Linked DNA regions of Arabidopsis thaliana. The protein of the gene in region 2 interacts with the protein of the main gene of each other region in a pairwise test. Each region holds a gene or a part of one and is shown on either strand. Other genes may lie near its edges.

The links.
Region 1: the proteins of YLMG2 (region 2) and PIN5 interact in a protein complementation assay, tested with the Arabidopsis thaliana proteins (one large-scale study listed by BioGRID).

The regions. Positions count from the first base shown.
Region 1 is NC_003076.8:5,398,631-5,402,388, reverse strand, and holds the start of PIN5 (Auxin efflux carrier family protein), read right to left. Parts: upstream 1,750-3,758; 5' UTR 1,655-1,749; coding exon 993-1,654; intron 485-992; coding exon 399-484; intron 306-398; coding exon 148-305; intron 1-147. UniProt on the Arabidopsis thaliana protein: Auxin transporter regulating intracellular auxin homeostasis and metabolism. Mediates the auxin transport from the cytosol into the lumen of the endoplasmic reticulum. May also act as an auxin efflux carrier when located to the cell membrane.
Region 2 is NC_003076.8:7,241,125-7,244,882, reverse strand, and holds YLMG2 (YGGT family protein), read left to right. Parts: upstream 1-2,002; 5' UTR 2,003-2,117; coding exon 2,118-2,423; intron 2,424-2,800; coding exon 2,801-3,003; coding exon of another isoform or gene 3,004-3,007; intron 3,008-3,042; exon of another isoform or gene 3,043-3,286; coding exon 3,287-3,533; 3' UTR 3,534-3,682; downstream 3,683-3,758. Other genes in the region: PAA2 (uncharacterized protein), read right to left, coding at 1-51, 140-226, 347-400, 487-584, 957-1,034, 1,133-1,754; AT5G21910 (uncharacterized protein), read right to left, coding at 3,756-3,758. UniProt on the Arabidopsis thaliana protein: Not required for the biogenesis and accumulation of native cytochrome b6 in the thylakoid membrane. Not functionally involved in the pathway for covalent binding of the c-type heme to cytochrome b6.

The DNA of each region.
Region 1 (3,758 bases), 1.8 Mb from region 2:
TTTCATATAAATATTAATGATATATTAAACTGAAAAATATAAAGTTAGTATCTTAGTGGATGAATGAATGGAAAATGATCTACTTTTTTTTTTATATACAAACTTCAGTAGAATTAGGGTACAAAAGGATAAAGTAGAATTTATGACCTGAATGATGGCTACGCGGAGGACATCACCGTGGAGGCCAAGGACAATAGAGCCGATGGCCATGGCCGCCGGTCCGGCAATAAACTTCAATACCATTCCCATCACAGTCAAGCTTGTTCCACATACTATCAACTTTTCTTGAAGTGCCATGAATATTCCTGCGTATATATGCATGTATTCACTGTTATCTCAATACTGATACGTAATCTTTACGTATAGAAAGATACTTGCATGGACATAAATAAACGTACCCATATTGAACATGGCCGTTCCTGTTCCTGCTTTTGACATTATAAGAATCGAACCCTCTAATATGCCCGGCAGCTCCAGATGCCATCTATATTTCCAATTAATTTCCATCAATTATTAGACTTAAGTCTTTATTTGTTAGCCAAGAGTATACAAAACACTAATCAAAACCCTAAACCCAAAATTCACACTAAAACAAATAAAATAGAAATTTGGTCAAAGACTCTAATATTCAGATTAAAATCATGATTAGTTTATTTGCATGTACATGTCACGTTTGCAAATTATGTTACCATGTTAAAAATGTCCTAGTCATTTGTCACATGGAAATATAAACGCAAATGCAAAGAAACAATCGTGACCTATATTTCTGTCAAAATTTTAACTATAGATCATCAGGCGCTACACAGAAAAGTAATAATTTAGATGGTTTAAACGTCAAACTATAGATATTTTTAGGCAATTTTAACGGTTGCCTCGGAGTAAGGGGTGGAATTAATGTAGTCTCCTGAGTCCCTGATCACACATACTAATTAACACTTTGTTAAACATCTTATAGGTACCAATATAAAGTTTAATTAAAGATTCATTTTTACCTGTTAGAAATAAAAGCCCATGCGATCCCAAGGATGCAAGAATAGCAATTTGGATTCGTTGCAAGCTTCAACCAAACGAGGGACATGACCTCAAGGAACGACTTCTCTCCCACAACCACAGTTTCTCTTTTTCCACTTTCGATATTGATGTTGTCTACTTGTACGTCGCTGATATTATTACTACTAAATCCGGCTTTTCTAAACTCTAAGACAAACAACAAGAGTGTGAGCCACACGATGGCTTGAAATACCGAGGATTGAACCACCAGATCAACAGCCTGTTGTCCGTACATTGCCTTAGCCAATGGCACACCAACGACAAGAGAGTTAGTAAGAGTGCATAGAGAGAAACTAGTAATGGACCAACAATAGCTTCCTTTGTTGCTATATTTGGCCCACAACGCTAAGACCGTGACTATGATGACCTTAGAGAGGACATCGGCCGCGATGAACCGGTAATTCATGTTGAACGGGTCGACATGGGCCGTGAACTCAATGGTGAAGAGCGGCAGGGTGAAATAGCAAACGAGACGGTTTATAGCATCACATTGATCACGCGTGAAGATGTGCCACCATTTCACAGAGCCATAGCCTAAGATTAAGGCTACATAGAGTGGAACCATTGCTTCGATTACCTTGTAAACATCTCCACAATTTATCATGGTTTTATCAGAAAAATAGAAATGTTGCAGTAGTAGCAAACGAAAGGAAAGAAAACAAAGCTTCTAAATTCGTTCGTAGATAGTAAATGTGTTACGATAGAGAAACCAACATGTTCATATTTATAGATAAATTTTTAATTGTTTTATTTGTTGTAGAAAAAAGATAGGTAATGAGATATCCATGAGTAATATTCAAACAAAAGTAAAGTTTAGATATAAATTAAACAATAATATTTTTTTCTTCGGAATATGATTACGAATATTTATAAATAATTTGGCTAAATTCCTATAGAATAGATACAATTGAAATTTGAGTCTAAATATTTAGATAAAAAAATTAAAATCAACCTCATATTTTTAGCCATTAGTTTAATTGAGAAACAAGAGAGTTATCGTTATCAATATAATTGACCAGACCGTGCCGTGGCATATGATTCTATTCCAATTGTTTCCTGTAAATAGTGAGTGTAGTGTTTGTGTATGACGTAAACATTTCTTTCAATATTTGACTATATTAATTAATGGTAATGTCGCAGAATAAAGAATGAGGTTGCAGCTTTAGCACCATAACTAGAAGATCGTCTCGACCAATATATGTTTTTGGCTGTCGTAACTCGTCGCCACAACACATGAGACTAACCAAATAATATATTTTCAATAATTTATTCGAAATATTTGCTTAATCGTTTTTTTCTTAATCTTAATATTTATATTTATTAACCACTTTCATAAAATGGGAGCAGAACTATGCTAGTGCATGTAATATAAGTAAAGTGCATGGAATAGTTTGTATATATGCCGAAATGGGTATTTGTGCCCTACGACCTGGCGATAGCAACCAATTTCATAACCGACAAAGAGAGATTTCTTATAAGAAAATGAATTTCACTTACTTATACCTAGTGATGATTTGAATGTTTCAATATATTCATGGTTTAAGAAATAACATGTCATGGGTTTTAGAATATGTTAATATATAGATAGATAGAGAAGTCTACAAATAACTTACTTACTTTTATCTTAAACCATGTTTTACGTTGTTTTTTATGTTTCGTTCGATAAAAAATCATATGGCCATGTCTTTCTTCTTTGTTAAAATATCAAAGAACCATATTATACTACGAGCTAGCGAAAAATCTATCATCGTGAGGATTGAGGAAGCCATTCAAGAACTACAAAAGTTTACAGAAAAATTTGTACCTCGTGCTCTTGTCCTTTCTTGCTAGACAACAAATTTATTATTTGCCTTCTGGACTCTAATATAATCACAACAACACATATTGCTAGGTGCAATATCATCATATTAGCACTTTTTAATTCTATGGTATATTTTTGTTTTGTAACCATATATATTGTCCATTCACAAAGTCTTTTCTATTACACATATTCATGATGAGAAAATTGATTTGATCTAATTACTAGAGAATCATGCAGAGGCATAAAATGATCTGGAAAGCATTTATTTATCATTTGATTTGATAATAACATTTTATGGAAACACCTATCTTTACCAAAGATTTGGAACAAATAGAAAAACATAAGCAAACAAATATATATAGTCGGACTAAAACAAAAACAAAAAGGGGGATTTGACTGATGGAACAAAAGTTAAAATCGGTGGATTAGAAATCTGTGAAAACGTGGAGGATGCTTATTCACTGGTGAAATTGAGGGATCATATATAAATATGAATAATAATGCTAGTAGAATAAGTTCTATTTATCACTTGATGATTACAAATCTATAATATGCTTTCAAATTTCTCTCCTGATGTGTTGATATATATTACAGTCTTTTTAATATCAAAAAGGTTTTTGTCTTCTCTCATTCATTCATTCATCGTTAATACTTTTGTTTTTGTGTGACATATTTTCATTATTCTTCTTGAATTATGTCAGAAATAGCTAGCTAGCACGATTGGAAAGTTTATTCAAAATCCATCTTATTTGTTTTGTACTTTTGACGTCATGAATATTATGTTGATGTTTTTTCCCAAACCACAAAAACAAAACAATCAAAGTTTTTCAGACCAGAAAACACTATATGTTGGGGTTTATACTGTTCTTCCTAAATTAGAGTTCGAATTCAAGAGTAGTGATCATAT
Region 2 (3,758 bases):
GTTATTGTCTGATGAAGTAATCACAAGTCTTGATTGAGTGGAGATGAGTGACTGCAAAAATACGTTTCAAGTCAAAAAAAAGGGAGGAAAAAGCCTACAAGTTAATCTTGGGAGGAGAATCAAGAAATGTCTAACATACCAATAGTTCATTCATATCGGTAGATGCTTGAAGCTTTGCTCTTTCTTCCAAAGAACGACCAAGGAGCACAAAGCCAAGCAGCATGACCTGCATACTAAATGACAAGAGCTATCAATCAGAAATTTACTATTGAAACTGTATTTTGCATGTAGTGGAAGTAATAATAAAAAGCTTTCATCCTCTTGTGGATCTGCTAGAGAAACTCACCGGTTCATCGAAGAAGGAAGCATCCCACTCCAGTTCTGGATTAACTAGTGAGATCTGCAAAATTCAGAATGCAGAAACTGCAGGTTTTCAGAATAGGATACTCACCAGTCAAATATAAATTACAGGGTACAAAAACTCACCAAACTGATGGAAAATGCAGCCATGGATCCCAATCCAACTAACGAGTTCATATTAGGTGATCTTTTCCCGAAAGCTTTTATGCCATCAAACAGCAATTCTACAATATACATCTATCTGTTTCAGTCATTTGTGTTTCCGAACAGCCTCAAATATCACTACCACCACTTTGTTATGAAAGTCGCAAAGAATAGTAGGAACCATCACTATCACTTAAGAAGTTTGAAAATTCAGAGTTTCTCTCTTATGACAACGACGACTCAATTAAGCTAACCATTATCCATAAGAAGAACTGATTCAACAAAGCTCACCTATATAATCAGAGTAGAACACTAGCACTTATCTAAGTCTAAACAATAGCCTAAGAACGACTACTTTGTCATCTCTCTCTTATGATACTAATTACTAAACTTATTATGCATTAGCTGGTAAGAATCATAGATTCGAACTAAAAGTTTAAACAAAAGCAAACCTCTTCCTGGTCCCAACAAAGCTCCAACGGCCAAACCACCTTTCACGTAAGAGTTGTGTAGCAAATCCCAAATCCCTCCTAGTAACATCAGGTGCAAGAGAAAGTCATAAACTACATCTCTTATCCAACAAATGACATCTAGCATCACAATTTTTTTTGCATTATAATCAATGTACCATGAGCAATGTGAATTCCCAAGGAATGAAGAATATGCGAAGTGTGAGACCCGCAACACAGAGCCACCAATGTCCACGCAAACGCCACACGGTTCCTGCTCTTAACAAGCAAGTCCTCTTTCTTACTTACCATCTCCTTCCACTTCTTCACATTCTCCGCCACTCCCATACCCGAGACTCTCCTCTTAGCCTCAAAACCACTCTCTGTCAATCTCTTAGCTAAACTCTCTGCCGTATCCGCCGTCACCTCAACCTCCGGTTTAAACTTCACAGCCGCGGTTTCAGTCAGCATGTTAACCACAGCAGACGCGACTCGATCATCAGACATCAAAACCGATTTAACTCGGGCGACGCAGCCACCACACATCATCCCACTCACATCGAGGAGAATAGGCGTGTCGCTCGTAATGGATTTCACAGATTCGATTGAAGATTCAGTAGATTCAAATGATTGAGTACTTATCTCGACCGAGTTTGATACTAAAAAAAAAGGTCGCGAACAGTGCCGCCGGATACGAGAACGGCGCAGTCTTGGAAAGCATCGGTTCACGAGGAACTTACTTGGACGAATATGAAGACTCGATGGCGGAGGAAGAGGAAATCGGAGAAGATTGCTCGCCATTTTCTCCGGCGAGACAGACGACGATAGTCACGCGATGTATACAAGTAAGAAACTAGTGGTGGACTGGTGTATGGTTCGTTAAAAAGAGTATCGCTAAACGTTGACACGTCGGATTTGGAATATATCCGAACATTAGCCATTTTTGTGGAATTTTTAAAAAGCCAGGCTGTCACCAGAAAAATCAGAGAGAGACATAAAACGCAAAGTTTTAATAGGTAAGACCTTCTAACTCAGCTAGAGGATTACAGCCCCCGGGACACAGCGATGCCACGTGTCATCTTCCTGAAATATTGTTTTTTGTTTGGAGGTAACTTTATCTTCTCAAGCTTTCTTCTTCTACAACACATCTAGAGCTTTGCAACAATGGAGGCGAGTGCGAATGAACCAGCTATGAAAAGCTTGAAATCCAATCCTTCAGGACCGATACCGAACTTTTTCGTATCGCTCTCTTCGGCATTTACGCAAACACCTCTTGTGCGTTCGAACAAACCCAATTTGCTTCTTCTACCACCAGTTGCAGACTCCGTCAAATTGATTCAAGACTTTCATCAGTCTCTGATTTCTGCTACTGAGAAATTTAAAGGATTCCTCCATTCGCTCGCCTCTAAGAACCCTCTCTTTCAGGAAGCGGTTCGCCTATCTTCCGAATTTCACATTTTGTGCGACGAGGTAACTTCTCTTAGCCTGCTTATGCTAAAGAATGTTATGGATTAAGTTAAGAAGATGATTGTGTGTTTCTCATGAACTTGCCTTGGCTCTGATTGTTACTGTAATGGGTGAATCTTTGTGGTTTCTATTTATACAAAATGGGTCATTCTTTAACAGCCAGTAGATTGTTGTCTAGATCATTTAGCATTTATTGGAAAACCTTCTCACATTGATAACCCTGAGTTATATATGTCCTCAAGTTGGGATCTTTTTTGGTTCTTTTCTTGTAAAGATGAAACTTGGCTTCTGGATAAGTCCGGTTATGATTTTGTGTGCCTTTGCTTCTGGTTTTGGGTTCTTTATGTCTTAAAGATGAAGATCATTTTGTTGCATTGCAGATTCGTTTGAGAAACACTACAAGGGTGAGGTTTGCGATGTCTAATCACGGATTTGCAGCGGTTCTGCCTGGAGATTCAGTTGCAGGATTGGTGGTTGCTAATGGTTTGATCAATTTCCTCAACATATATAACACCATCCTTGTCGTCCGTCTAGTACTCACCTGGTTCCCGAGTGCTCCTCCTGCCATTGTTAACCCCCTCAGGTAAAACGTTGCCTTCAAATGCCACAATGATTTTATATCTTATCCAGGTTTAAAAGTTTTCGATCAATCCATGAAAACAAAATCTAGATCATAGAAGTCCTATTCGTGATTGTTGAAGGTAGTCTTTTTACTTGATTTAGAGGAAATTTATTTTGGATAAACTCTGTCTACTACTTTTTTGTCCAACTCTTAAATGGATTAAAGATTGGTTAAACCCTGATTGATCTGCCCAGGAACCCTAGTTGATTCCTATTTATGTGTATATGCGTTACCATTGTTTCAGCACTTTATGTGATCCATACTTGAACATTTTCCGGGGATTCATACCGCCTCTTGGAGGATTAGATTTGTCTCCCATTTTGGCGTTCCTTGTTCTCAACGCCTTCACCAGCTCGGCTATGGCACTTCCTTGCGAACTCCCGTCAGCTGATGGAGCCGTTTCTCCAGCTTCTAGTGAGACAAAGTGGGTGAGAAGGAGAAGGTTGAGCAGCCACAAAGACCACAGACCGAGCTCAGCTTCTATGACCTGAACCTGTCTAAAATATCTACTCTTTTCTGCGCTTCAAATGTAAAATCTACCTTTCGAGTAATTTTATTACTCTGTATCTTTGGATTTCTGAGTTTTGTATAAATTTTCTTTAGAAAATGAATAAAAGAGTTGTGTTCCTGACATACAGAAATATTGTAAAAATTTTGCAAGAGATGAGCTTTTCTTCTTCATTTGTGGCATCAAAACAACTTTCGCTCAGATTCTA